4 linked regions of the Lonchura striata genome follow. The protein of the gene in region 2 purifies or fractionates together with the protein of the main gene of each other region. This does not show direct contact. Links are inferred from orthologs where the notes say so. Each region holds a gene or a part of one and is shown on either strand. Other genes may lie near its edges. The genes, in order: MED31, CDK19, MED21 and MED4.

Region 1 (7,524 bases), on a different chromosome or scaffold from region 2:
TCAGAGCAGCCACTGCTTTACAGGCAGAGGCCAAGATGCAAGGAAGCTGAGTTTAATAGAACAGAGACAGCTACAGCTTGTTTCCTTCTCTATCCTGCAGAATTTATCAGCATTTATCTCTGCTCCACTCCCCAGACCTCACCCTGTACACTCCTGATTTCTATCCGTACAATGTGCTGTAAGGAAAACAAACTTCCATCAACAATGACTGCCAGGGTAACAGAAGTGACATGTAATAGCTCAGCTTGGTTTCAAGGAAAAACTGCACAGTTTTGACTTTGTCTATCATCACTTCACCTTTGCTTGTCCCAGAGCTGTAAGTAGCAGGGAGTTCTCTTAAGATACATCATTATTCTCCAGGGAAAAGGTTTCCTAGGAACAGCCTTTAGAGCTACACTTCTTTGTAGAGAGTTGGTAAGTGACAAATCTAGATTTTGTTTTCAAAATCAAGAGGAATCAATAACTATTGTAGTAAAGCTCTTACAAAATTGTCCATGCTGTAAAATAAATTGCAGGTGTTTATTAGTTTTTAAAGGAGTTGATGAAACAAAAACAACCCTAGTCATTTGATAAATTCAAATAAAAGGCACAGAGCCAGAGCCAAACTTGCACAAGGGTTCATTCACCTCCTGTAAATACTTCACTAACACAAAGTACACCTTATCATCACTACTCTGTGTGCTTTTCATTTTACAGAGGTGTTGTTTTGTTGCTGCTGCTCAGCCAGTGCCTGCTGGAGGCGCATCCTTTTCCGGGAATAGTGCTGCCAGTGGAGGATCTGTTGCTCATCAATAAATTTGGCACACTGAGCATTGACCAGCTCTTTGCGGAAATGTTCATACTGAAGCAGCTCTAGCATATGCAGACATTGAGGATACCTGGGTTAAAAATAACCACACTTTAATACAGGTTTTTACAAGGGACACTAAATCTAGAGTCTCCAGTACTTCTGTGGGTCGTTAGTTTTGACTCATATGTGCTTTACCCAAGTGTGAAACGACTTCAGCATGAACACTGTGACTTGGTAACTGCAGCATCAGGCCAGGAAACAAGACAACCAATTCCAGTAATAAATGCACATTCCTGCTTACTTACAGTAGCTTCCCCAATGGCTTGGTTTGATAGACCAAATCTATCCATCCATCCAACAGGCTTTACAAGGCCTCTTTCCAGAGCCCAATTAAAGATGACCAAAACCATTTTCCCAAAAACAGAAGGCATTAGCACACTTGCAAAAACACAAAAATCATCTTTTGTCTCATGCAAGCATCAATAATGCACAATTGATCTTAAAATGCACTTACTGCTTTTTTGCCCTAATGTTCAATAGTTTGATTTTAAACCAATCGAAAGTGCAGATTAAGGCTTTAAAGGAAGATTCTATGCAAAACTCATGAAATTTTTATAATTTTGCCTATTGCTGCTACATGTGGACTATTGGAAACAGGGGAATCTACATTGCATATAACCATATGCATAATCTATGTTGCAGGAAGGACAAAAGTAATGCTACAGGCAGAAATGAAATCCTATCATGCTGCTGTACAGTGTTCAAAATGAGGTCAATGGCAAACCATTAAAATGCAGAAACTTAAGGGAATTTAGTACTTACTTCAGGTATTTTGCATATTCAGGTTCTTTCCAATAAAGTAAATATTTAAGATAATTTACAAACGCTTTATCTTTGAAGTAGCCTCTTTGTGCAAGAACTGAAATGACAAGGAATTGACAGTTACAGATGGGTGCAAAATATCAGCCTACTTGAAAAAAAATCACAAAGTCAAAGCTTTCTCATTACAATCAAATTTCAATAATTTATATTTGGCAAATTAAAAAACCACAGGGCAAAATAAGATTTTTATGTCAAGAAAATAATAGATTGGCCTCATCTCCCTTATAGTTTGTATCTTTCATTGAATGGAACAGCTTTTTGAAACAAGAAAACTTTGACAGTAGCATCAAAATTAACAGAGTTATGCACAGTACCTAAAACTATTCACATTAGTAAAATTCTGTTTTCAGATAAAGGAATGCTGTTAACTTGACATTACTTTTTAATAACAGACTGGAACTTGTTATTTTCTTCCTCCATCAAATAAATGCCTTTTTTTTTTTTTCTTGCATTCCAACTAACAAAAGACTTTGCATTTTAAAAAAAAATCCACCTGTTAAACAAATAATTTACAGGTTAGTTTCATGCTGTGAAAACCCTTTTCTTTGTTTAGCCCTCTCTCCATATTCAACATTACCGGTAACAATAAACAGCATTGCACTATATTAACTCTTCCAGGTTGTGGTATTTACTTTAAGTACTCACAGTTGAGGTAATTTGGATTTGCCAGACATTGAACAAACTCCAGCTCCAACTGGAATCGAAGTCGATTTCCTGTATCATCTGATTCAAGACAAAACCAGTAAGAATTGGACCCACACAGACTGAAAGCATTCGCAGTCTGTACCGGGACCAAAGCGGGCTGGGGCGGGTGAGGGCCACGGCCGGCGGCAGCGAACGGCGCGGTGCGCGGGCCCGGCGCGGCCAGGGCGCACCCGGGACAGGCCCTGGGCTGCGGGCTCCGAGGGGAGCCGTGCGGCGCCCCGCTCGACCTGCGCCGGCCCGGCACGCCCGGCGCTCCGGGGGCCTGCCGGCTCCGAGCGGCGGCGACAGCGGCCCCACGGGGCTCCTCCCGGGCTCCTCCCCGGCTCCGCTCCCGGCCCCGCTCCCGGCCCCGCTCCCGGCCCCGCTCCCGGCTCCGCACGCTCCCGGCTCCGCTCCCGGCCCCGCACGCTCCCGGCCCCGCACGCTCCCGGCCCCGCACGCTCCCGGCCCCGCTCCCGGCCCCGCTCCCGGCCCCGCTCCCGGCCCCGCTCCCGGCCCCGCTCCGGCTCTGCCCGCTCCCGCACCTGCGTCCATGTCCGGGCGCACACACCCGACAGCGGCGAGCGCGCCCCCTACCTACGGCCCGGCGAAATGCAACGCTAGGCACGCTGGGAACGCAGCGGCCGTTGCCTAGCAACGGTGGGGGCGGGGCCATGGCGGGGGCGGGGCGCGTCGGGGGCGGGGCAATGGCGGGAGGGGCTGGGCTATGACCGGAGGGGCGGGGCAATGGCGGGAGGGGCGGGGCTATGACCGGAGGGGCGGGGCAATGGCGGGAGGGGCGGGGCTATGACCGGGAGGGGCGGGGCCATGGCGGGCGGGGCGGGGCCATGACGGGGCGCGGCGGCGCCGCTGTGTGCCGCAGCCACCGGTCCTGCGGAATTTCCCCGCCTGAGGGAAAAGGCCCAGTGCCACCCGCGCTGCTTGTGCCAGGGGACCCAGTGCGAGTCCAGAGTGCCATTCCTGGGACTCCAGCTCCACGGCTCTTCCCGAACATGAACGCGGGCAGAGTTTCGTCCGTGTGCCGCAGGGCCCAGTCAGTCCCAGAGCCAGCGAGTGTGGCTTTGCGGTCACTGTTCCAGGCATGTTCTTTCCCCAGATACCCCTTGAGCTGCGAAGGATAAAAAGAGGATGAAGTTTTGTTTGTATTTGCAGAACATTCATTTTAGCTTTGTACTACACAAAGCCACTGTTCATCCCTTCCAGAGCAAAAGGAAGTGGAGAGAATCAACTTTTAGAATCAACTAAAACACTAAACTGTATTTAAAGTTTAATGGTAAATACTGGATATTGGACAAAGTTGGGAACTTTGCAGGGCTTTTTTGTTTGTTTGTTTTTCGTAGTGACTTTACAGTCAGCCAAAGAGATTTCTGTCAACCTCTACGCTTAATTCTTCATTAATTAAAACACAGTTGTCTCAGAATAAAACCATTAACAAGCAAATGCTCCTTGAGTGAGCAGCAGCAGTGGAAGCAATCTCTACAGGCTTACCTGAAATCCTTCTAATTTTTCCTTTTTTTGTTGTTTTAATTATTTTCAATTTTAATTTGTTGAAGTATTTTTGGCATCCAACATAGCAATTTTCTATAATACTATATTTTCCTATGCAGTATGAATTTTCCCCTGGGAATTGCATTACAAAAACCATATAAAAAGGATTCATGCATAGTTTTTTTCTTAATAAAAAAGAGTTGCTTTCTTAGGCAACATTTTAGTGGTTGTGGAATACTACTATTACTATATTAAAACATAACAAGTCACTCCCCAGTAAACACAGACTTTGATCTAAAAGAAGAGATCAAAGAGATCCCACGTGTCTGCATTGCTATTCTAGAACAGGATTTCTTTCCCAAGAGTGACTTCAGAGGAGAGAATCCTAAAAAAGGATTGGTCACAAAAATAAATTACAATGTAGGTTTGCCCAAGTTAAGTTAAACATCTCAATTCTTGTCCATCAAAATTAGGAATAAAATTGAAAATCAGGATTTTAGTATAGGAGATTTTATAGTTTAAATATTTTATATAGGAGAACATTCTTGAAGAAAAGTTTGGGGTTTTTTTTGTTTGTTTAGTTTTGTTTTGTTTTTAAATGTCAGGTGAGCCAAACTTGCAGGACATGTGTCAATATAACTGTGAGCCAGAAATTTGTCTTATTGTCATAGAACAAGGATGACATTGCTGCCTCAGTTTCTCCTTTCATAGACTAGACTGCTGTCACTGCTGTTGCCTGCCCAGAAATGTGATGGTTTAGGACAGTAAGTTTATCTTAACTCATTAGAGCTGGCATAGAGACACAGCTCTTAAATTGAGCCACTTCTGGGACCTGAAGCCACCACGGTTTTATGAGACACAAGAGAAAATAAAGTCTCATTTGGCATGCTGTTGAATCTTGAAGGTAAACGCTGAGGAAGAGAAATGCTGCAAAAGATTCCTCTGTGACACCACTGTGCAGTGCATCTGCACCAGAGAGAAAAAAGCTCCATCAATTTCATCACTGAGAACTGATCAAGTGAGATGAAATAGGGAAATGTTTTACACCGGTGCATGAAACCCAAGACATCCCCTCTTGTTCACTCCCATTTACCCATTGCTTTGGAATAGAATGCAAACTGATACTAACATGGACATCTGACAGGATTTTACCCACAGAATGCAAGACAGCTTCTGTAGATGGAGAGCATCCTGCTTCAAATATGGTTAAATAACAGAGAGCAGAGTATGCATTATGTTATATATATAACAAGCCAGCACAAAGTCTGCAATTTTTTTACTCCAATGCTATAATTGTAATTCAATAGAAAGAAAATCATAGTTTTCAGTGACTAAAACAATTGTCAGAACATATTTAATTAAAGGCTTAACTCTTCACTAAGTTCACTTTTTTGAGGTCAAGAAACTGGCAGGTAATGTGCATTTCAGAAGGCCAATAACAGTCGTGTGCAACCACTTCATCCACAGATGCTAAATACCGTTCAGGCAAGCTGCAAACTGGATGAAATAGTGTAAAAAGACTGGTGTATTGAAGGCACTGGCACATATACTTCTGTGACTGTGGTACTCCTCCAGCTTCAGACAAACACTAGAATTTAAAGATAAATTAAAGATTAAATGTCATGTGTCAGAAAGCATTTTATGTTTTTCCATAATGAGTTGGTTAAAAATATGTGAGGGCTTCTATTAAGACACCTGGACAGCAGGAGAATTTGAAATCAGCCATTTGCCGGGAGTAATATACATTCCTATGTTTCTGATTTCTGACCATATAGCCAAGGCAAAATATTGAAGTAAAATAGAAATTTCCTCCAGAATAATAATTTCTTAGTTGAAAGGTTGTGTTAACTTTGTTTCTGGTGGAAATTTGATCTTCAGCTGGCTTTCTAAAATATTTGCTAAGACCCAACCCAAGTTATTGTTCTCAAAGAAAAGCTCACAAAGGAAACAACAATAAATTAGATTTAGTATATGGAACATTAAGTTTTTTCAGGAAAATGGTTTGTCTGTAAAAAAAGTTTTATGAACACTGTAATGAGGCTCACACTCACTGAAACAGCTTATGAAAACTCATTGAAGTGCCATGTGCCAAATAAGTCTGGGAAATAATTTTGTGTGGGTAAATAAAGCACTGAAGTAAACTGGGAAAGGATAACATCTTTTCTCTGACAGAAGAAACAGCCTCTTTCTTATGGCCAGCATCCACAGTAAATGTAAATCTACATTTACACCATAATGGGCAGCTATTGACTAAATGCTCTAGAAAAAATGGGGGGAAAATAGCTTCAGTATAGTCATCTCTATTTTTAAATAACTACCAAACATTGTATTTAGCAGTCCCAAATCACCTCAGGGCACCATGGTATGCCTACCTTTACTCTGTGCTCCCAGTGGTAAGGGCTGTACTTCCCTCAGAATTTCTGTGCCAAGCAGAGGCAGTCTGCAGTGCATGGCAAGCCCTCTCTGTGTCACAGACCCTTCACTCAGGGACAGGTACAGATACACAAAGGGGAAGGTCTGATCTGCCACTGAGGAGCTGCCACTGATACGGTTCTTCTGGGCACAGGAGAATCAGCACCCTGCCACTAAACCATGCAGGCAAATGCTGAGCCTGTCTGGCAGGAGACTGGTGGCCTTGTGGTGCAAGAAGTGTTGAAAACCTCTCAATAGCACAAAGAGATTGATCAGACTTGTCTAAAATCACACTTTTATTCACCCACACTGGAAAACATTGTGAAAACTCTGTCACTTGATCCAAGGGCTCAGGATTCATTACCACCCACTTCTTCACATATTTAGCACAGACAGGGGAAAAAAAAAAAAGATGTGAAGTATGTAAAAATGTATACAATATGTCACTAGTAGAAAGGAAGAGGAACCACTCCTGCATTTTGGCTAGGATTGATGCAGTGATCTAATTCTTTTTCTGGGCTGATTTTCACCAACTGTCCAATTCCAACTTTGTCAGCAAATGTTGGGTTTGGCTACAACCAGGTTATTGCTATTTCAAGTGGCAACACACCTGAGCTGGAAAACAGAGGCTGAATAAGCCAAACACTGAGTTCAAATGAGATCAGAACTCAACTGGAATGCACTACTTGCTGCTCTGAACTCAGTGGATGACACCAACAAATCTGACCACTCTTCATCTTGGGGACAAGTTCTAATCATGTAGAGAATGCTGAAAGGTTTTTCTTCTCTATTTCACAGATCTAGATGTTCAACGTGTGGGCAGGAAATACCTTTGTTATCTCTTTGTATGTTTTCTTGTAGTTTGGTAATTCATTAACTCATTCACAGTTGTGAGACCATTCCCAAGCACTAGTACACTGTGGGAACAAGTTTGCACACTAGTACATGATCAGTCAGGAACCCTGTGCAACCCTGTGCAGCCCAGATCACAATGCTGCAGGTTTGGGACACTCAGTATTTGCAGAAACAGCATTAGCAACTTGATATTTTGGTAAATTGGTATTTTGAGAGAAGAAAGGAAAAGCCAAGGTTCCATAGAAAGAGGGCAGAAAATAAGAAAGCATTAATTTAGCTCCTTAGAGGCCTTAGAGGTGGCACTGCTAGCTGTGCTGCCAGCTGGCCAGCTGACAGACTCACTGACCACAAGGAATCACACTCTGCCCTCATATGGTAAAATGGGAATAGTT
Region 2 (7,702 bases):
CTAGTCTGTAAAGAGAAGGTAAGGAATAGCTTTTGCAAGAGTTCTCTTAACATGGAGTAAAGCAGTACAGACTATTCTGGAATCAGCTTCCTGGATTATGCTCAAGAAAAGCAGCACGAGGTTTCTCATTCAGTACTATTTGGATTATGGTACTATAAAAATGAATTAGAAAACCCCCAACAAAACAGAGCTAGCCAAATAATTATATCATGAGTGCAGAAGTCAGCCCTCCCTTCTTTCATTCCTAGCATGCTCTCTAGATTTACTGTAAAATTATAAAAGAACCCCTGAGTTACGTACTTTGTTTTTTTACAACAATATAACAAGGTTAATACTTTTACTATAGAGGTTTAGAAGTTAATTGACATAAAAGATTCCAAAATTCAGAGCTTTACTGGGAATCATAACATATGAACTTGAATTGATATTAATCAGTTGGGGAGTTTCTAATCTATCCCTATTAGAAGTCTTCTGGTATTCTGTCCCATTTTCATTAGCTCTTCACACTGCCATTAGTATGTTTAAAAATTCCAAGTATATCTCTACACATTCTGAAACAGGTCTGCTAGTTTTCCTCTGCTTATGAAGAGATGATAATACAGTACATACGAGACTTCTATCCATCCTAAGGTTTCTCTACTTATATCCCTGGGAATTCTGAGAGCCATCCTTCCACTCTGAAGTGAAGCAACATTGGCTTTAAATGTGACAGACAGAAGTCCACACTGAGTGCATATGTTTATTAATATCACACTCAAGATCTACTGGAAAAAATGCTATCTTGATCCCTAAGAATAAAAAATTTCCTATTTGATTAACAAGTAAAAGCTTACAAAGAGAGTGAATTAGGAAAAGGTGCTGCTACTTCCAAATGTGGCCAAGAAAAAGAAAAAAATCCCACCACCTATCTTTTAGTCTCATTAAAAAATGAAGAGAGATTTCTAACAGATTGCCCAAGGAATGAAACATGCTGGAAAGCAAATAGGAGTGTATTTTAAGTGCAAGGCAATCTACAAAGAACAACAAAGTTCTGCATGTATCACTTTCTTGGCACTGAAGTGTTAAAAACCAAATTTTTCCTTTTTGCATGAGAAACTCATGTCTTATCTGTGTTGGAAAATTGCTTAGAGATCTGGTAAGGATACTCAATTCCTCAACTTTCAGTCTTGCTTGACATATCTTTTACCTCCAGTGCAACTTGAGTTTTGACTCCAGTGACTTGAGTTTTGGAAGAAATGGTGATTCTAATGACTGACAATATGGCATCTTCAGTTAGGCTAGCAGGCTGAAAAAAGTCCTTCTTGCAATCTGCAACCTTGTAATTTTCTGTTTCCATTGCTAGGACTACTCAAACTTTATGTGTCAGTACAATTAACAAACGATATGGCACTGCATATTAAAAATGTTACATGAATGCTATTAAATATGTGTTACTGGTATCACAACTGTTCCACTAACTTGGAAGCGCAATGAAAATGTCATAGTATTTTTCTGTCTCTTTCTCTCGAACAATTTGCTGTCACTGCTCTGTAAATGGCTGCTTGCTACTGCTTCTCCTCTGGGAACCACCTGGAGAGGAGATGCCAGGTAGCTGTTTTCCAGCAGGTCTGACAGCCTGTGCCACATACAGTGTTTTTTCCACCTTTATGAATTTGAAACGGAATCCTGCTGTATACTCCAATCTCAAGAAGAAACAAATGGGCCCATTTCCATCTTCCAACCATAATAAAACTTCTGCACAAATGAGATGGTAGCCTCATTCTCATCAGCTCTAATCTGGCCCGTGCTTGAAGCTGTTTAATTGGTTCTACACTTTTAGTGGCTTTTGTGTGGCCAACATAAGGATTCAGAAAGTAGAAGTAGGGCTGAGTCATGAGAGAAGGAATCAGGGCACAGATCACATTCTGGGCTTTTCCACAACCTGACTTGTACCAGTCCAGCCTTCACTGGTGGGGCTCACAAAGGGAATGAGAAGAGCATGGCTTTATTAGTCCAGCAAAATCAAGGCTGCGTGGGGATGAGACTGCTGTCTATAAATACTTTTGGCAGGGGTACACACAGGAGAGCAGGAAAGGCTACTTCAGGACAGTATTTGCACAGCAAGAAAAGATGGACGTGGTACTGGTCACAAGGAAACGTAGGTTTGACATTTTTAAAAGGCTTCCAGCTGTTAGAGAGGTTTTTCCTCGGACAGCCTCCCAGTAGCAGCACTGAAGGCCAAAAAATTTACTGGCAAAGCACAATTAATTTAGGGAAGAAAGGATAAAATGGCTGCTTGCAACACTAGGGAACAGTGTACAGTAGAGGGTGGAGGGAAAATTATACTGCCTTGGCTTACAATGCCAGGTCACCATAATGAGGGTGCTCTTACCCCTCTCTCACCAGCACTGTGGACTTAAAACAAATTATAGTAAAAGACAGTCTTGTCAGTACACTGTAAAATTAAAAGAGTAAAAACAAATGCCTTACTGATGAAAAGGGGCAATAATGGTTATTTTTCTTGGTCAAAGAGGGCAATAGGAACTACTTGAAGAGTTTATTGTTACAAATATTACCAACACCAAGGTAGTCTGTATTCCATTTGATGTTAAAACTGCCAGAATGAATCTGGGTAAAATAACCTTCTACAGATAAGTTCTCTTTTTTATGTCTGCATCTTTCTTCTCGGTGTTCGTTTTGATTACTAGTTGACCAAAGATGTGAACGCTTTGCAAAATTTAAATAGTTAGCTCTAATTTTAGTAAATGTCTTTAATGGTGACTGTGAAAGATCGATGGTGTTCTTTGTCCTGTTCAGGAAAATTGCCAGCTCATGATCAGGCCTTGCTCAGAAAGATCCACATCTGCAACTGCAAAGCAAAGCACTTGAGCTCTCTGGAAATTATTACTTTGGTAAAGGAGCAATGAAGTTTCTGAGAACTTCAGTTGCTAGCTACCTGTCTCAAGGGAAATTCTGAATCATCTCTTGCCTTCTGGAAGAAATAATCACCTCAAAATGGTTACACTCCTGCCTTTCCTTGAGAAACAAACTTCTGGCTATGACCTCATGACTTAGCTATGCACTAGTAATCATATATAGTACCCTACCTTATCATGCACTTGACACCTCCCTTTGCTTTGTCAGCAACGACAGCTTCTCATCAGCTTCTCTACCCCTCCCATCCAGCATGTGGAAAAACTTTCCATTGTGGTAAGTAATGCTGGCAGAGCAGGTGACGAACTGAGATTGTTTTTGTGTATGGAGAGATGCCATTTTTATTCTCCCCTCCTCTAATTTAATTCTGCTTCATTCACTTGCTGCTGGCGGGAGTAATCGAAGGTTGAACACACAAGGTGGACGCTCAAGTGCTTTGCTTCTAGAGTGGGATGTAACCTGCAGGTCAGGTCAAGGCTGACCTTACACTCCCTACAGCTCCCTGAAAGGAAGCTGTAGGTGCGGGTCAGCCTCTTCTCCCAGACAACAGGTGACGGGATGAGAGGAGATCATCTCAAGCTGCTCCACTGGGGGCTTATGCTGGACATGAGGAAGAATTTCTTTACAGACAGGGTCATTAGATTTTGGAATGGAATGCCTGGAGAGGTGGTGGAGTCACCATCTCTGGAGATATTTAGGGAAAGAACGGACATGGCACTTAGCGCCACGGCCTGTAGTTGATATGGTGGTGTTTGGTCATGGACTGGATTCGCTCTCAGAGGTCTTTTCCAGCCTGACTGACTCTGTGATTCTGTGTGACTCTTCGTACAGTTGCCTCTGCCTGGCACTTCCATAATGCAAGTAAGATTGCAGACTGGTGCTTTTCACAAAAAAAGATCTTCGAGAGACCAAGACATAACATTAAAAGGCCTGAATGTTTCTGTGATCTCAAAGTGCTTTGACGAAATCTGAACCCCAAAGCAGCGCCGCGTTTATCTAAAAATCTCTCTGCTCGGGGCTGAAGGGGCACAGCCTTGCTACGGCATCGGATCATAAAGACGCAGCAATACGCCTGGCTTCTATCCGAGCGCAAACACAGTATGTACCCCCGTATTTCTGTAAGCGACCGGTTTATTTAGCAGCACCTAACGACGCGAATCCTAGCAGGATTCCCGTTTCCAACATGGACCCGCAGCGCCAAGCCCTGGAGCCGGCCGGGCCCGGCCCCGCCCGCCGCACGGCGGGGCAGCACTGACCAATCACAGGGCAGCATCCCGCAGGGAGGCGGGGCCGGACCGTGAATGGCAGCTGGCGAGATAAACAAGTCGCCGCACTGTTCGGCGCCCCGCAGCATGGGTGCGTGTGCACTGTCTGCTCCTCTGTTCCTCCCTCCATCTCTCCCTGCCAGCCAGAGGCGCCGCGTCCGGCTGTGCTCGCCGCTCCCGCCTGTGCGCGCAATGTGAAGAGTCAGCAAGTTCCCAGCGGCCGCTGAAACGCTCCGGTGTCTCCGGAGAGGGCAGTGCGCCGACGCCGCCCGGCCGGGGTGGCCCGAGGCATGCCGGGAGTTGTAGTTCTGCCGCTACGGCGTCCTGCCTGCGGCGGCGGGGCCGGCTCCCGCAGCCGCACTACGACTCCCGGCACCTCGCGCGCCGCGCCGCGAGGAGCCCAGTTGAAGCGGGTGGCGGCGGCGGAGCGCGCCCCCTCCCCCCCGCCGAAAAGCCCCAAACCAAAACAAAAACAAACCGGCCCCCCGTCCCCCTCGCCCGCCGCCCCCGCCGAGCCCCGGACATGGCGGCGCCGGGAGGGGGCTCCGCCAGCTGCGGCTGCTGATCCGGCCGCCGCGTCCCCCTGCCCGCCCGTCCCTCCCCGCCCATGGGCGAGACATGGACTACGAGTTCAAGTCGAAGCTGGCGGCCGAGCGCGAGCGGGTGGAGGACCTGTTCGAGTACGAGGGATGCAAGGTGGGCAGAGGCACCTACGGGCACGTCTACAAGGCCCGCCGCAAGGACGGGTAAGGGCCGCGCCGAGAACCCCCTTCCAACCCCCCCATCCCCCCGCACCAGCGCCCTCCCCTCCCTCCCTCCCTCCTCGGAAAGTTTCTGGCAGCGCGGGGGCCGGAGCGCGGAGCCCGCCCGGGTAGCGCCCGCCCCGCGCCGGGAGCGGGCCCCCTGCCCCGGCCCCGGCGCCGCTGCCCGGCTGCTCAGAGCGACGGAATCGGTTATCTGGAAGAAACCTCTGAGATCATCGAGCCCACCCTGTGACCGTACATCACCATGTTCAGCTATACCGTGGCACCGAGTGCCACATCCAGTTTTTCCTTAAACACCTCCAGAGACGGAGATTCCACCACCTCTCTGGGCGGCTCATTCCAATGTCTAATCACCCTCTATGTAAGCAGTCCTACCTAATGTTCAACCTAAAGCTCGTCCCGCTCTGCCCCGTTTTCCCCCCGCCATCCCTGGTGGTGCGGTGTCAGCAGGCTGTGCCCTGGGGTCGCCTTTGCTTTGCACGCCGTGTTTCAGGTCGTCGCTTTCGTCTTTTGTGTGACCGCGTTCGTAATTTGACGGTCTGTTCCGATTACTGGCAGGGGATTGAGAAGGGAGGAGCACCTGGCTCCCGACGGCCCCTCCCCGGCTGCTCCCTCCCTGTGTGTTGGTCCCTGGTGTGTCCCCAGCCCCAGGCACCCTGCTGGTGCCAGTGCCGGGCAAGCTTGGCTTGATGGCCTGTCCGGGATGCTCCTTGTAGGCAGAGCTGGTGGCTTCTGTCCAGTACCAATGCACAGGTGTGTCTCCATCAGTTTCCCATGAAAGAGCAGGATACAAGTCCCTGTCCCTAAACACTTGGCTGGTGGCTTTATACAGAGAGTCCTTTAGGCGTTAAGCCCATGTATGTTGGCTAAGCAAGGTTTATTCTCTTCTTTGGGGAAAGCCAGTATCATGGGATAAGTATTCCATGGATGCTGTTTTCACAGTATTGTGGTTAAGAGAGCAGTGGGGAGGTAGGGTTGCAATTTGAGATTGTTTGACTGGCATACAGTTGTTAAAGGGGAGCAGTCCTGAGGCCTGAGCAAGGCTTTGTGCAGGTGTGGGTTCCAAATGGAATAATTTGCTTTCAGAAGAGCCATTGAGCACTTTTTCACTGTGATGTGTGCCTGGTGCACAAACCCAGGCTGTGTTTTCAGAGTGTTCTAAGCATACTGTAAGGTTGGATAAAATATACCTGTGAATTACAGGTGATTCCTTTCTGTCAGAATGTTAAAGGGAATAGCCTTCCATTATAGCCAATGGAAACTTTGAAAAAGAAGAGACTGAACGTGGAAAAATGACAACTTTTATTTAAAATTTTGGAAGTGGTTAATGGAATGCTGCTGCTTTAGATTAGTAGAGAAGTCTAGGGATTCTTCTGTAGGATTAAATGGCATTCTTGTGTGTCGTGAAAATTTAAACTCTGAATTAGGAGGTTGTAGTATAAAAGTGATTAATAACTGAAAGGTAGACACTAATTCCAGTGAAGGATTAACTACCCAGAAATGAGCTCTGATTCTGACTAGCTTGCTCTGCAACCTTAGGAATACTAGAGCGTAACTAACTTGAAATATCAAAGCTTTTCCAGGTATTACAGTGCCACTGAGCTCTTCCAATATTTTTGAGTTAAGTGATCCTGGTTGCTTCTTTTTCCTAATTATTAATTTATATATATATATGTAAAACATACATGGGATAGGAGGAAAGTGGTAATAAGGAAAGGAAGCAGTAACAAAACCACCAAAAATGCTAGTTAGATGTCTGTTGCTGTTCTTTGATATAGTAAGCCTAAAATTGCTGCTTGTATGAACAGCATAAAAAACGGCAGCACTTGGATTTACTGTTTCAAGAAAGAAAGAAATTCGGAGTAAGTTAAAGTCAGACATTTTTCCTTTCCATCATCTGAAAGGAAAGCCATCACAGGAATTATATTGCTGCTACAAAGCACCATAAAGAACATGTCTTCAAAATCCCTAATGATATGACAAATGCAAATGGGTAGTAAAGCAAAAGTAAATATGATAAAAAGATAGCTAATGTGTCAGAGCTGGGAATAATCAAAGGGAGACCTTGAGCTGTAAGACAACTAACTGGTAAAAGGAAGTGCAAAGTTTCAGTGCTGTCAGATAGATTGACATATAATATAACATGGCACAAATTCAACTGTACTATATACTCAGAGGCTTTACTTCATGAAGTTTGAAAGTGACTTATTTTTTCTCTTTTTTCTTTATATTAATTTTATGGCATTGGTGAGTTCACTCTTAGTTGCTCTTGTGTAAATTTAGATCATTGGGTGAAAGTAATATGTGAACAATTTAGGAAAATATTAGAAAACAACTAAAGCCATTAATATGAGATAATTTCCTTATGTAAACTCCTAGCTAAAGTATATATTCAGGTTGGAGGATATTTAGCATTAGTTATGAACTTTAAGGGATCCCTAATAAAAGAAATTAGCAAAAGAAATCTAGCAGTGGTGCATATTCATTGTGTGCTGATCACTGGGGGCTTTTGAGCCTCGTGTAAAGGAATTCTTCTTTAGCTGATTGCAGAAACTGTTTCAGTATTTCCAATTTGCAAAGCATTCCTGTATAAAAGAAACATTCTGTCTTCTTGCTTCATGTAGGTAATTTACAATCTCAGGAGGCTGAGGGCAATAAGAACCTTGTAGCTCTGCAGAAATTCCACTGAGAACTTGTCACTTCATGTTTCAAAAAGTTGGCATATGAATTTTATGAAATAGTAAAATGTGTTTTTTACAG
Region 3 (7,565 bases), on a different chromosome or scaffold from region 2:
TAATACCAGACAGGTATTAGACTCCCTGAGCCACAGAGAGCTCAGTCTTGTCAAACATCCTTTGAAAGGCACAGAGACCTCAACAACCACATAGTGCTGGTCACAGCATGCAATCTTCTCCTTTGGGCAAGCTTGACCTGCCCAGAGGTGGCCCACCAGACAGGTCTGCAGGACCAGCAGCACAGTTAACTCCACCTCACAAGTGAGAGAGTTGATTCAGCAAGTCAGCAACAAAGATGGGAGCAAAATCCAGGCATCCCAACTTGTTTTATTGCTTCCAATGGTGAAGGCCTGGACACGCTCTAAAGGTGTCAGGCTATGCTCTCTTCCTTGCCCTATAGGAAGGACTGTAACAGTCACTACACATCAGAGTAATTTTGGGTTAGATACATGAGAGGAACCCAAACTGCTACAGAGCTTATCAAATGAACAGATGCTGAAAGGAAGTCAGCATTGCTGAAACCAAGCAGCAGCAGAGTGGAGAGGGAGCACTGAGCATGTATTACTCCATAAACAGCACCAGGGCTGTAGCACAGATAGCCCTGCACACAGAACTGGTGAACACAGCAAACAGCCCACTCTGTCATCCCACAGTATCTCTTCTCCCACATGAAGGGCAAAACCGGTAAAGACAAGAAACAGAACCTCCTGGAACTCTTCTGAGATCAAAAGTCCTTATTCCTAACTCTAAACAACAAGACAAACAACTCCAGAGCCTCTGCACTTGTTATCCCTTCCCTGTGACACGCTTTCTCCAACAGGCTACACCCAGCTTCAACTGTTTCCATTGTGCTGATTCAGTGCCAAGCTCTTGGCTCCTCTGATGCTTTGAGAAAACCACATTTCCAGCTCCAATAGCCAAGTGTCACTCCCTACCACCACAGAGCAGTTAACCACACAGGGTTCTTGATTACAACCAGCAGTCCAATTTCCAGTAAGAAAAACAACTGAAGAAATGCCCCTGCTGCCCATACAGCCATGCTCAAACATTATCCTTCTCTCAAAGAGGTTCTGTGCAGTCAGAGAAAACACATTTCTACTGGGTGTCAAGCACCTTGCAGTGGATATGCAGAATAACCTGATGTAAGCAAGCTCCAGGAGCCAAGGAGAACTTTCCAGTGCAGGGAGTACAAGTAGTCACATGAAGACATTTAATGAAGATGAAATGCAAGCTCAGACTGACAACCAGTTTGAGTAAGAAAAACATTAGCATACAGTTACTTAACAGAATAAAGCCTGGAGCCATATCCTATCAGACCTGTAAGGCCATGCAGACACAGATAATGGGAGAGTCTGGCTACAGGGTCTGTCTTCCCACACTACTGAGCCCCCCTCCCCCCCAAAAAAAATACAGCACCTACCCTATTCCCAAAAGAAGCAGAAACATTTCTGAAAGCTTCTAAACTTTGATTGTGTGTGTACTGAAACTCATGTTTAGAACAGCTTGATACTTAAAGCAGATGACACCACAGAATGTGACTTGCCACCATCTGCACCATTCCCATCCCAGAGGACTATTCTGTTCACCAGGCTAGAGGTGTTTTACCGCCTGAAAAGTGAGGGAAGAGATTTGTGTGAACATCTTATTGTAAAGTATCATCTCTGCATAGACTAAACAAGTTTCACCCAGATAAGCTCCCTTTACAAAAGCACCCCTCAGTCCTGATTACACTATAAATTCACTTTAGTTTTTCCAAAACTAAACAGCCCACTTTGGATGTAGCAAACACGGCCAGCTGAACTCCTCCTCAGGAAGACAGAACTCCCTGGAAGGCAACAATCAGTGCAGAAAACACTTCTGCACAAAGACTAAGTTTGAGGGGCCGCAGCCCATCAGAAGCCCAGAGAGGTTACACAGGCCATCATGCAAAGATTTTACTGATCAGCACTTTTAAAATGAAGCAGGAGCTTCAAGAAATAGGAGTTAGCAGAGCCCATCCCTGAAAAGTGGGTGCCCACAACTGAATAACCACAAGACAATTTCAAATCAGTGAACCATTAAGCAAGTGGCCTTTTTTAAAGGCCCTAATGATCAGCTAGACTCTGGTACACAAATTACACAGCTTATTAGCTTTTCACAAGGGAAATACTTTCCTCCCCTCCACCCTCATTCGTGCAAGGAAAAACAGCAACAGGTTCCTCCAAGGCAAAGCAGTTTGCTTAGTCTCATAGTTGCTTTGCCTTTTTACATAATGTAGAAAAATTACTCAACACATGACCCAATTTCATCAAGTCTAGGAGACAAACTGCTTGTTAGCATCCTTTAAGTTATCTTAAGGACATTAAGGTCTAAGAAAGCAGAGCTTTTATTCTCACACCTGCTTGTGACCATCAGGTGCCCAGCCAAAGCTTTTAGGTCCTGCAAGAAACAGGGAATATTTGGCTCTCCATTAGGATCTTGGGCATGAGACTTGGGCAGAGAGAAGCCTTCCACACCTGAGACTGATTCCAAATGCTGTCCTGCAGCCCTGCAAAGTATCCAAAGAGTCTCCTTTGGACAATTAAGCTTCATTCATTCAAGGCCAGGTTGGGTGGGGCGTTGAGCAACCTGGTCTAGTGGAAAGTGAACCTGCTCATGGCAGGGGGGTTGAAACGAGATGAGGTCCCAAACCATTCTATGAGTCCATGGTTAGAAGCAGTACAAAACTAAAGCAACTAAAAGGAGGAGGCTTATATCAGCCCTGATAAGAAGGACTGCTTGCTTATCTTTGAATTATCTCTGAGAGGAAACTGTTTATTTTTTCCTTTATTTGAACAGATAAGAGTTTAACCAGAAAAAGAAAAAAAAAAAAAGAAGTGACTGTAAATCTTCCTGAACTATACTTATTATAGCACACTTAACTCTGGACTCCTATTTTAGTCACATGCAGGAACACAGGGAAATTACAAAAAAAGCCCATGCCAAATAAAGTCAGATTACATCAGTACGGACAGAAAGTAAGTTTAGGAACCAAGCTGCAAATTCCAAATTCTAGGTTTTACCCCTTTCCCTAGTTTTATAGCAATAGTGGTTTTCAACCCACCATCCACTAGGGTGGTGAGAACCCATGAACACCTGCACATGGTCGGGGGATAAAGGCAAGCAAACCAACCCAAATCGCCTTTTAGCTATGTCAACTCACGTTCACGAGTGGCCAATGCCACCTCGTTTCTGTGCGAGGAATACAGCCCTACACCATCCGCATCACCTGCTCCGCACCCCCGCGGCCAAAATCATTCTGAATTATCCATGAAACAGTTACAATTATGGCATTTACGGCAATTAAGACGTTTAAAAAAAAAAAAAAAAAAAGCGGATAGGGAGGGAAAGGGGATAAAAAAAGAGGGTGGCTCTCCTTGTCCGCATGAAAGATGCAGACAAGCAGGAACACACACGGCGCTTCTGCAGCGCCGCGGGGAGCTCTGCCCCGCGCTCCTGCGGAGGGCAGGTGGCGGCGGGGACAGCCCCGAAGGCTCCGCGGCGGCAGCGAGCCCGCGCCGCCGGCCGCGACCGGGCACGGCCCCGCAGCCCCCGGCCCGAGCCGCGCTCCTCCGCCCCGCTCCGCCGCCCTCACCTGAGGCTCCGCCGTGCCGCAGGACCCCCGCGAGCAGCAGGAGCAGCGCCGGGCGAGCCCAGCCCCACATGGCGCTGCGGAGGGAGCGCGCAGAGCGGCTGAGGCCGGGACAGGCCGGGCGCGGCGCGGCGCGGCGCGGGGCGGGGCGGGGCGGGCGCCGGGGGCGGGCGGCAGGCGGGGCCGCTCCGGCCCGGCCGGGGCGGGCGGAGGGGAGGCGTTTGGCCGCGGTGGCTAAAAATCCTGAAAGTGCGCGGTGGGGTTTGGATCGGCAGTGTGGGGTTTGGGGTTTGACTTCAGAGCGTGAGCAGAGCCCAGATCGTCACCCATCCGTGCCGTCGGGAAAACACTTTGGGCGGATTGTTTGTGTCGTTGCTGCACCCGCAGCATCAGTGACAAGGCTACAGAGTGGTTATTTCCAAAGGCGTGTTGTGACAGGGTAAGAGAAATGGCTTCAAAATGAGGTCTAGACTGGATATTAGAAGGTATTCTTCCCTATGAGAGTAGCACAGGGAAGCTATGACTGTCCCATGCCTGGCAGTGTCCAAGGGCAGGTTGGATGGGGCTGGGAACAACCTGGGATAGTGGAAAGTGTCCCTTTAGGAAGAGATGCTCTCTAAGGAGAAGGCTGGCATTGTACCCAGCTGTCAGAGGTAAGAAAGATGGGCACAAACCGACTGGCACGAATGGCATTTATTCTCCAACCCCCGGGCTCGGGGGCCGGGTGCTGGCTCTGATTTGGCTCGTTGGGAGCATTACACTCTGGCTGTTCCCTGCTCACATCGGGGCTGGAGCGGAGCACCCGAGCGCTGCTGCAGCCTTCAGCTGGGCTCAGAGCGGCTGCCGCACAGCAGAAGCCGTGGCAGTACCCGAATGGCGTAGCTTTGAAAAGACCTCTGCGGTCAGCGGGCGCAGCCGTGCCGGGCGGCGCCGGGCGCCAAGCCCCGCCTTCCCCCGGACGCCCCGAGGGGCGCCGGCCGCCCGTTCCTCCCGGCCGCCAGGCGGCGCGCGCGCCCCGCGCCTCAGGGGCGGCGGCGGCGGCGCGGCCATGGCGGACCGGCTGACCCAGCTGCAGGACGCCGTCAACTCGGTACGGCGGGGCCGCCGCCTCCGCGCTCCCGGGGCCGCGGGGAACGCCGCGGGCTCTGCGGGGATGCGGCTCCCCGCCCCGGGCGGGGGCACGGCGGCGGGTGTGGGGTGCGCGGCCTGCGCGTGGCCGGGGTGCCGCGCGGTGAGGCGGGGCGGCCGCAGCGGCGGGGCAGGGCGAGGAGCCAATTAACCGCGTTAATTGGTGCCGGCAGCTCGCGGACCAGTTCTGCAACGCCATCGGAGTGCTGCAGCAGTGCGGCCCGCCGGCCTCCTTCAGCAACATCCAGACGGCCATCAACAAGGACCAGGGCGTCAACCCCACGGAGGGTGAGTGCGGCTGCCCGCGTCGCCTGCGCGCTTCGGGAGTGCAAAGCCCCTCGGCGAACAGCTCCCCCGCAGCTGCGGGAGGGCTGGGGATACCTCGGGGTGGTGTCGGCTGCGCTTTCTGCGTAGCAGTGTTGGCGTTCAGGAACACGCATCATCACGGGGGATGGTTATCTGCAGGTGCTTTTATTGAGAGCCCTGGGAATCAGCGGTACAGACTCAAATCTGACTCCGACATGGCTTTCGAGCTACACGTCTTTTATATTCTATCCTTATATAACTTACATATTAATTATTAAACTTATATTGACTTTATTCAACCATGAGTTTCTCGTGATCTTTGTTATGCCCCTGACTACAGTTTCTCATGATTATTCTTACGATTAAACAGTAATTATATTTAATTACTAAACAATCATCACATCTAACAACTATATAATTTATCACGTACTAGCTACACAGGTGCAGTTCTAGCAAGGTACAAGACCTTCATGTACCTAGGGTACTTATTTTTTTCAGGGCCTACTAAAATTAATTTTCTTTTTAACCCTAAATCCCCATGATTTTAAAACCCTTTTACTATCAACAGTGTGGCAGCAGAGTTGTGCTTGTTTCTAAAAATTCCCCGAGTGATTGGCTGAGTTGTGCTGTGTTTTGTGCAGAGTACGCCCAGCTGTTCGCAGCTCTGATCGCTCGCACCGCCAAGGATATCGATGTTCTCATAGATTCCCTGCCCAGTGAAGAATCCACAGCAGCTTTGCAGGTAGGAGTTTTCATAATTCTGACATCAGGATGCTCCTGAAGGCAAACTTCCTTCTTTTTTTTTCTTTTTTAACACGTTTTTTCATCTCTAAGCCATGTCACCATTGAAAAATGATTTTAGTACAAACCTGAATTTTTTACAAGGGCAGCCTAAGCGTGCTTTGTAGGCTTAGTGGAAATAGTGACCTTGCATCTAGTTCCAAATAAGGTTATAATCAATGACAATATTTTAGACTTAGTTTTCTGTTAAAATGTAAAAAAAAAGATGGTTTTTCACACCACCACTGCACTGGAAACTGCTCACCTTTTTTTTCAGATGTTAACAGAACAGATATAACAGTACTGATGCTCTGTGCATTGTTTTATTCGTTTTTTCCCCTTGGGTTATATTTCATATTTTCTCACATTTCATTCTGTAGCTGCAGAACTAATGCTACAGAAGTCTTTTGTTCTGCCACATTGTTTCTGGTTAAAGAGCTTGCGGGGTGTCCTTTAGGTTCTTCAGCTCTGTCACAAAATAACTCCATCACTTTTCGATAACAAGGATTCTTCCTTTGAGCCAATCAAACTTGTTTTGGGTTTTTTTTCCCTATTTTTTCGTAGATTTTACCTGTTAAAACCATCCTTTTTTTTTTATTATTTTTCTTTGTGACTCTTAATGGCTGGATTTACATCAAGTGTTTTCTCTTTGGAATGCATAAAGGATGCTGAGTGCTGTTTCTCTGACAAACCTGATGATCACCTTTAAGACCACCTAAAAGTTTTAAACTTGCATTGGTAGTTTGTAACTGTTTAAAAGTGTTTTACAGAAGATTGACACTGAATAAGCCAAAGAGAAGAGACATGGCAGTGGCATCACGTTTGTTTTAAACAGAGGAGGTTAAATTTGGGAACTTCGCTAGTCGCAGTAATTGCTAAACATCAAAATTGGGCTCATTAACACTGGCATAATTTCCTGTAAGTGCATTTTTAATAGCTGAAGATAGAATGCCTGCTGCAGACAAATTCCAGTTTGTTCCATGACTGAGCAGAGTCTGATCAAAGTGGCAGCTGGTGTGGGTAAAGCAGGGTGCTCCAGAAGGAGGAGCTGGTTATCCAGTAAGGATATGCTTTCCTTAGAGGTGATACTTCAACAGTTTCTTGCTGTCTTAATGAAGAACTTCATGTCACAAAAATTTCAGATCCTTTCTATATGTTATGGTTTTAAGATAAATTAGCTTGGATTCCATCACTTGGATTCCAGTTTTGATTTTTATTTTCTGTTGCTTAATTTGGTGCAGTATTAAATATTCTGATAGTCTTCAAAGAAATGGTTTTAAGGATGCTTGAAACACTCTCAAATATGCACTATAGGTTTAGTTGAGAAGTGGTAGATAATACTCGTTTAATACAAATCTGCTTTTTTTATACTAAAGTTGTCTTGGTGTATGTTTCAGATCTGAGTCTTGTCGTAAATTACAAAAGGAGCTGCTACACAAATGCTCAACACAATTTACCTGCCCCTTGTGAAGCTGACAGTACAAATTCTGCTCTAATCTGTGGATTAGCTGCAGTCAACTATTAAACAAGAGAACATTTTTCTTTTTAGGGAGAACCAGTTCTCTCATCATCCTTCAGTAGCAAAGTCACTTCAGGATTCTGTTGAAGATCCTTGCTTTTCCCTGTTGCCCAACATCAAAAGAGGAAACTCTTGCAACGGTGTTAAAATAGTAAAATAAAAAGCAGGCCTTTATTGGAAGCTTCCAGGTGTCCCAATGATCTTGGTCACACCCAGCATCAGATTTCTACAATTTTATGAGTTTAACAAACTAGCATATCTAATAAATATTGTCCAATTAG
Region 4 (7,418 bases), on a different chromosome or scaffold from region 2:
AAAAATTATTAAAAAGCAAAGTCAGCTTTTTCATTTCCTGTCTTATCTAATTGGTCCAAGATAACTACCCAACATCAGTGAGCAGGGAAACATAGATTTCTTTTAAAATAGCAATAAGAAATGGATGATTTATCAGACACATTTCAAAATATTAACAGTGTAATGACATCTTGACAAATGAGGGACGATTATTCTCATCTTTCAAGACCAAAGTACAGCTGTGAAATCCTTCCAAACAGTGCTCAAGATATTTGATTTCTATTTTAGTTGATTTTTGACAGAAAGGATTTTATTTTTACATTATTTAGGGGAAGTAGAAATGAGTAACTGTTCTGTCCCTTTTCCTTTTTGCTCTCCTTGTGTATCCTCCTGCCTTTATATTTTTAGTGATTGCAATGCTTTATTACACATGGTCCTGAGAACCTTCAGGTATTACGTATCTTCTGTAGTCTGTATTTTCCTTATTATTTTAAGGTGTGGTAAACTTAGCTGTTGCAAACTGAACACCTGATGTCTAGTGTCTGGAATGTATAAATTAGAAGACAGCTGAAAAGCACTGTAGCCCAGAAAAAATACAGATTTTAACTGAAGCACACACCTGCTTTGGGTTTCTTAGGCAAGATTCGCTACAGCTCAGCTTCTACATTCTAAAGTGATTTTCTAGTTCATAGGAAAAAAAACCAAAAAAAAACCAAACAAAGTAGGAATACCTAGAGTGAAGGAATCACAGTATTATGTTGGAAGAAAATGCTTTGCACTAGAGGAATCCTAGGTCTGAATAGCACTGAATTATGAATAAAAGAAGGGAAGATCTCACTTTTCAGCACTAGCCCACAGTCCCATGAAATTAGTTGCAACTCAAGCCACACTCTGAAGGCATGGTTCCATATGATGAGGTTAGAGTTCACTATCTAAAACAGAAGGAAATGAACATCCTCTTCCAAATTAAATATTCTTCAGTCTGGTTATTGAGTTGAAGTGGCTCATGGCCCATATGGCAAACACCAAGAAGGAGCTAAGGGTGGGTGAAAATCTGCAGTTGGGACATGAGAAGTTAGCAGCATCTCAGGTTCTTGCCCTTGGTGAACTATTAGATCAGATCAGATGCTCCTAGATCTATCTAGAGGAATCAGTTTGCTCTGCTGATCATCACTTCAAGGCCCATTCTGGAAGAGAAAAGACTCAACTGAACAAGATAAAATAAGCTATTTTTGCTTATGCTAGAAGGTTCTTAACAATACATTCAGTATGCCATTGAACAGACAATTTGAAATTAAAGAGCTCTGAAATGTTTAATAAACTCACTGTGCAAATATCCATGTATGACTACACAAACTAAAATGTTCTCAGTCTACTGGAAAAATTCAGGAACAATGCTTAGTTATTCAGGAGGAACCAAAGAAGCAGATCTGGCTCAAAACCAACAAAACTATGAAAAAAGTTTACCCAGGGGAAAGTAGGCAAAAAGCACTGAAGAACTGAGGTAACAGAGGAACCAACACTGGGGGAACAGAGGCTCTGTTGTTTTTATAGGGAAATATTTCAGAAGTCTATTCAGCAAAGTATTCACTCAGTCTTTAAGTAATCAGTCCATGGGGGGCACGAGTTTGGGGCATGAGCCCATTTCACCCAGCCTTTCCCTTTGTTCTGAAGGAGATGACCCCTATGACATGGTTTGAATTACTTTCTATGTCTTGGCACAGACAGGCATTCCCTGATACCTCTGGTCTCACCCTGTCCTCCCACACAGAGGCACGAACACAGTTAAGTCTCTGCCTATTCCACTGCATTCCCCAGACATGGCTATGCAGCCATGGGCAGTAGAGAGCAGACAGTTGTCCATGTTGCCTGGAAGAGGAATAGAAATTTGAGAAGTAGGTTGGCTGCTCCAGGGAAAGATGGGTGGTATTGGCCTGGTTGGGTGGAAGTAGTACTGCTGTGAAGAGGAAGGGAGGGAACAAGCTCCCAGGCAAAAGGAGAATGAAAGATCAGGCTACAGAAATCACCTATAATCAATATTCACACCTGTCAACTCTGGGTGTCCTATTAATGCTGCAAGCTTTTAGCTCAAGTGAAACCAACATTATTGCCCTGAAATACAGCACTCAAGTCTAAATAATCCAGATGTCAAAATGAGTATGAGGAAGAAAATGATTTAGTGGAAGGACTGCTTTGTTTTTGATGTCACTATTTCTTTCTATTTATGCACCCATACAGACACTAACGAATCAGTGAACTGGATGCACAACCAGACACTATCACTGATTACATCTTTCCCTGAACAAAAGCAAGGAAATAGAGAAGGGAAAAAAAAGCAAGCAAAAGTTATTTAAAAGGCAGAACTATTTAATGAGATTTTATCTGCTATGCAGTTTAAACAGAATTCCCAAACTATTTGCAATCAGAATGTTGAGGGTTGTTGGGCATTGCAAAGGAATTTTAAATAACTCCTGTTAGCAAAGTCTTTTTTCTCAGAGTTGCCAAATCTCATTGCTTTATCAAAAATCTCATAATGTTGAATTGCTTATTTAAATCACAATCCAAAGAATTACTGACTAATGAGTTTCTTGCCTTTTTTTCTTCTTTAAATAAATGTAAATTTCTCAGGAATACACTTTTTGCAGAAGGTAACAGATAATCAGAGTAAATACCAGCAGTCAGAGAAGTTATTGTTCCTGTAGGCCTTTTTCTAATCAGGGGAGAAGAAAATAGCTGTTTACTGGCAGCTGCCTGCTGACAGCAGAAGGACACAGGGTCTGGGGCTCCCTGTTGTTCTATGGTAGTGCTTGCCCTAGTTAATAAACCCTGGCCCCAGATAAGCTCTTACTCTGTACTCCCTCATCTTCCCTCCAGCCTGGCCTCACAGGGTCTTTCCACATTACTGAAGCTTTCATGAATATAAAAAAATTCCACTGGCTACACTGTGACTCCACCCAGAAGGAGCAGCCCGTTTCACCACCCCATAGAGCGCAGCATTAAAAAACCCCCACAACATAGCAGTACCTTTTAATTCCAACTCAACTGCTGGCAGGGCTGGGTGCAGGATTTGAGCCTATTATTGTGTTCAGATTCTGCCCCCAGCAGGCAATTGTGCCCTGACCATTGTGTGTAGAGGTCCGTGGTGGACACCAAGCTACCTTCATGGACACACACGTGTGCACGGGCAGTGTCAGGAGGACAGTGATGCCTCTAGTCATGTAAGGGACAGCCAGCCCAGGTAAAACCCTGGTCTTGGTCTGATTTGAAGTTCAGGTTTTTGATATGCTTTCAGTATCATGCACTTAACCTTCCTCAGTTGCCAGTAAAACACCAGATATATAAATGTCTAAAGGAGACGTGTCAGGATGGAGCCTGGTGCTTCTCAGTGGTGTCAAGCAATAGGACAAGAGGCAATGGGCAGAAACGGATGCACAGGAAGCTTCATCTGAACATGAAGAACTTATTTACTGTGTGGGTGACCATTCACTGGAACAGATTGCTTAGAGAGATTGTGGAGTCTCCCTCACTGGAGATAGCAAGAACCCTCTGGATGCAATCCTGTGCAGTGTGCTCTAAGACAACCCGGCTTGAGCAGGGAGGTTGGACCAGATGACCCTCTGTGGTCCCAACCTGACCCTTTCTGTGATTCTGTGATTTTATCCTCCATCTGATCAAAGACACCTGAGGGATTTTTGGACACCAAGACTCTCAAAAATTGAGTTAAAGCCCCTGAAGATGTAATACAGTTGCACACACTTCACCTGCAGCCTGTTTTCTGTATCCTTAGCATATATCAGTGTCATCTGGAGGCTCTTTGTGGGGGCCCGGGGACTCCACAAATGCATTCCAGTTGGAATGGTTGTAGCCAGGTGGGGACAGACCTCTCCTCCCCAACAACTAGCAACAGGAAGACGAGAGGTCACCGTCTGCAGCTGCACCAGGCAAGGTTTAAGTTGAACATCGGGAAGATTTTCTTCACCGAAAGGGTGATTACGCATTGGAATGGGCTGCCCAGGGAGGTGGTGGAGTCACCATCCCTGGAGGTGCTTAAGGAAAGACTGGACGTGGCCCTTAGCGTCGCGGTCTAGCTGACACGACGCTGTTGAGACTCCGTAATCTCAGAGGTCTTTTCCAACCTAAATGATCCTATGATTGCAAGAGCAACAAGCACAGATGCTCGAGGAGCGACCTGGCCTCAAGGCAGGCCGCAGAGGCGACCCGCTTTCCCTCACGCCCCCAGCCCGCGGGGACGCGCCCCGAACCCCCGCTGCGCTCCGCCCCGCCAGCCGGCGGGAAGGGATCCGCCCCTCCGCCCCGCGCATGCGCGCCCGCCTCGCGGCTGCCGCTCGCCCCTGCGCCGCCGGGGGCGCTGCCGCGCGCCCGCGCGCGCCTCCCGGGGGCGGTTCCCGCTGGGGTCCGCGCCGGGACGGCGATGGCGGCGGCGGCGGCGGGAGCCGGGGCCGGGGCAGCGGCGGGCGCGGGGGGCGGGGAGCGGAGCAGCACCCGGGACCGGCTCCTGGCGGCGCTGGAGGATCTCGAGCTCTTGGCCAGGTACCGCGCTCGGGCCCCGTCGGCCCCGGGTGGCGGCGGGGCACCGGGGGCGGGGTGAGGGCTGCCGGCGGGGCGCGGGCGCGGAGCCGGGGTTGGCGGGCGGAGCGGAGCGGCGGCCCCGGAGGTTGGGATGGGATGGGAGGGGAGGGGCCCGGCGCCACTGCGGCGCTGGCCCGACCCGGCTGGTACGCGTTTTCCTGCTCTGGCCCTCCTCGGGCCGGCCCTGCCGGAGAGGGGCTGGTGCTGCGCCGGGGCTCGGCCCGGCCCTGCGCAGCGCTTCCCGGCGCTCATCCCGCTGGAAAGCATCGGTCGTTTGCAGAGAGAAGGTGTAGCTTCCTTTTTCTCCCACTTGCCTTTCTCCCTTGGCTGACACCTCTGCTTCCTGTGAAGTGCACACTCACACGCCGATTTTAGGCATTTTATTAGTCACTAAAAATATGCTTAAGTCAGAAATACGTAGATGGTGTGGCATGACATCACCTGTTCAGGTCATTGCCTGTATTAGTGCCACATTCACTCCAAGTAGGCTGCAGCGCTTGTCTTCAGAGTGATAGAAATGCTCAGATACTTAATCCAGGGTCTTTAGTCCAGGCTGGTAATCCTCATCCAAATTGTCAACCATGTCGTGGAGGCACAGCTGGCAGTGAAGTTCAGATAGTTCCTAATTATTTTCCACACCTCAAGGAGAGCAGGAATTTAGGAAAACATTTTCAGTGGGAATACCTGTACTATCCATGTGGCTTGCTCACTGAATGAGTTCCAAGACTAGGATATGCTATTGGTGAGTTGCTCTCCTTGTGGCAGGTTAAGTTTTATCCTGTGTCACAGATTTTATTGAGACATAAGGGTTGCTGAAGAGCATATGTTTATTGAAAAATGAAAACAAGCTTATTCTTTATGTATATTGCTAATATTTTTTAATGCTGGAACTAGTGTTCTACCACAATGAAGCCAGAGCAATTCTCAGCAAAATTTAGTGAATCTTCCTGTTGATCAGCTAAGTGTTGCAGCACCCTGGGGCTAGGCTTTTCTCAGTTTCAATACTGGTTTGGTGGTAGGGACAAAAATTAAGCCATATGTCTAATCTGTAGCCTTTCTATAGTTTTGAATCTATGTCTGTGCATTACCTGGCTGACACAGGGTAGAATTACAGCACTAGTTGACATCACCTTTGATGGTGGTAGGTGACCTACTTAAAATGGATTTTATTTGCTACTGCTCAGCGTTGGTCAGGTAGAATAAAGCTTTAGTAACAGTGACAATTTTCTTTATTGTCTAATTGTTTAAAATCATAGTAGTGTTCAGGAGTGACCAAGAGATATAGACCAAGATCAGAGTTTTACTGGGGATTTTTTTAGACATTTCTGGCCCCAGTGCTATATTACACACACACCCCACTATGCTGCTTACACTGGACCAAGCAAAGAGTCAGTACTTCCAAGGGCAGTGTCTCCAGATGACAGTTACTTGTGCTTAGGGTTGAATTGCCATTCATAGCCTTAGAAGCCAAATGACTTTGCTGAATTTACAGAAAATGCCTTTTTGCATCATGGTACCCAGAGTTCTTGCTGGCTTTCTGAACACAGGCAGAGTATCTGGATATCTGGAAGAGTGATCAAGAGGTCTGTTTGAGAAGCACTTCTAGCCTAGCAACAGAGTATTACCAGGGTTCTTTTATATTTTTTTGTGTGCTTGATGCATAGCTAATATACCATTGTGGGAATATTTGTTGTAAAAGCAGTTCCATAACAGACTCTGTTGGTATTTGAAAGTGTAGACTTAATTGCTCTAAATTACAAGTATATTGGAGAAAAAGTGGAAAAAAGTAGAGAAGTAAAACAGTGAAGACCCTCTTGCAACAAAGAAAGCTAGTAGAAGAAGGATCTGAGTGCACTCCATTATGCTGTTTCTTCTCTCAGGTTCTGTTTATGTCTTTTATGGTTTAACAGGAACTTAGCACATTTCTTGTTCAAATACATGAGGGTTTCATGAGCTCAAATAACAAAAAAATATTCTTTCTTGGTTGAAAAGTCCCTGCCCACACTGTACTATAAAATATAAACTGCTCAGGTCCATGAATACTTTCATAATTATACCAGTACTCTGGTAATTTTGGGATGACTTGATGTGAGAATGCTGTAGGAAATTGTGCAAACGGAGTTCTCCTTTCAGGGAACTAATTGAAATTTTGGCAATTTCAAGAAACCAAAAGCTTCCACAACCAGGAGAGGAGAGCCAGGTAAGCTGCCTTTCTGAATTGCATTTCTTTGGGTAAGCATAATGCTTTGCTTCTAATTTTTTTCCATTTTTTTTCTTTGTCCTTACTTTCTCCTTTTGTCCTTGCCTATATTCAAGTTAATGGTCATGGTGGGGCTTTGGCCCTGCTACAGAGGCATTATTGGTTCTCCTGCAGTTTATTAATTTTTTATGTGCTTCATAGGGCGTTTCTGCAAACAGGAAGAAATTTTCTTTCATTTTTCATTCAAGCAAAAATACTCCTATGGATGCCATTTGCTCTTCTTTGTAGCATGACTGAGAGTGTGTTGTTACTCTAGCCAAATTAAAAGTTCTACAAAACTGTTGTTCAATAGATCCTGGAACTGCTGATTCAGAGAGATGGAGAGTTTCAAGAGCTAATGAAGTTGGCAGTTGATCAGGGAAAAATCCATCATGAAATGCAGCTTTTAGAAAAGGTAGTAGAAAAGCGGGATAATGATATTCAGCAGCTGCAGAAACAGCTTAAAGAAGCAGAGCACATACTGGTAAGTTCATAATGATGTGTTTGCTTTTGAGCATCTTCTTGTAGAAAAGGCAGTTCTGGGCAAAGTGGTGTTGTGTTAGTTTGAGACGATTTAAATACTTAAAACTTCATAAGAGCTTAGTGGTTT

What was found.
Region 1: the proteins of CDK19 (region 2) and MED31 purify together in Homo sapiens (affinity purification with mass spectrometry; 6 studies listed by BioGRID and IntAct, counting the BioPlex papers as one, with this or other methods). This does not show direct contact. The link is inferred for Lonchura striata from reciprocal best matches to the Homo sapiens genes CDK19 and MED31.
Region 3: the proteins of CDK19 (region 2) and MED21 purify together in Homo sapiens (affinity purification with mass spectrometry; 6 studies listed by BioGRID and IntAct, counting the BioPlex papers as one, with this or other methods). This does not show direct contact. The link is inferred for Lonchura striata from reciprocal best matches to the Homo sapiens genes CDK19 and MED21.
Region 4: the proteins of CDK19 (region 2) and MED4 purify together in Homo sapiens (affinity purification with mass spectrometry; 7 studies listed by BioGRID and IntAct, counting the BioPlex papers as one, with this or other methods). This does not show direct contact. The link is inferred for Lonchura striata from reciprocal best matches to the Homo sapiens genes CDK19 and MED4.

What each region holds. Positions count from the first base shown.
Region 1 is NC_134622.1:11,673,661-11,681,184, reverse strand, and holds MED31 (mediator of RNA polymerase II transcription subunit 31), read right to left. Parts: upstream 3,002-7,524; 5' UTR 2,912-3,001; coding exon 2,902-2,911; intron 2,396-2,901; coding exon 2,318-2,395; intron 1,710-2,317; coding exon 1,613-1,709; intron 879-1,612; coding exon 686-878; 3' UTR 496-685; downstream 1-495. UniProt on the Homo sapiens protein: Component of the Mediator complex, a coactivator involved in the regulated transcription of nearly all RNA polymerase II-dependent genes.
Region 2 is NC_134605.1:68,775,900-68,783,601, forward strand, and holds the start of CDK19 (cyclin-dependent kinase 19), read left to right. Parts: upstream 1-4,693; 5' UTR 4,694-4,796; coding exon 4,797-4,924; intron 4,925-7,702.
Region 3 is NC_134607.1:1,479,597-1,487,161, forward strand, and holds the start of MED21 (mediator of RNA polymerase II transcription subunit 21), read left to right. Parts: upstream 1-4,555; 5' UTR 4,556-4,599; coding exon 4,600-4,641; intron 4,642-4,852; coding exon 4,853-4,967; intron 4,968-5,626; coding exon 5,627-5,727; intron 5,728-7,565. Other genes in the region: TM7SF3 (transmembrane 7 superfamily member 3), read right to left, coding at 3,555-3,624. UniProt on the Homo sapiens protein: Component of the Mediator complex, a coactivator involved in the regulated transcription of nearly all RNA polymerase II-dependent genes.
Region 4 is NC_134604.1:61,908,342-61,915,759, reverse strand, and holds the start of MED4 (mediator of RNA polymerase II transcription subunit 4), read left to right. Parts: upstream 1-4,411; coding exon 4,412-4,530; intron 4,531-6,702; coding exon 6,703-6,769; intron 6,770-7,121; coding exon 7,122-7,292; intron 7,293-7,418. UniProt on the Homo sapiens protein: Component of the Mediator complex, a coactivator involved in the regulated transcription of nearly all RNA polymerase II-dependent genes.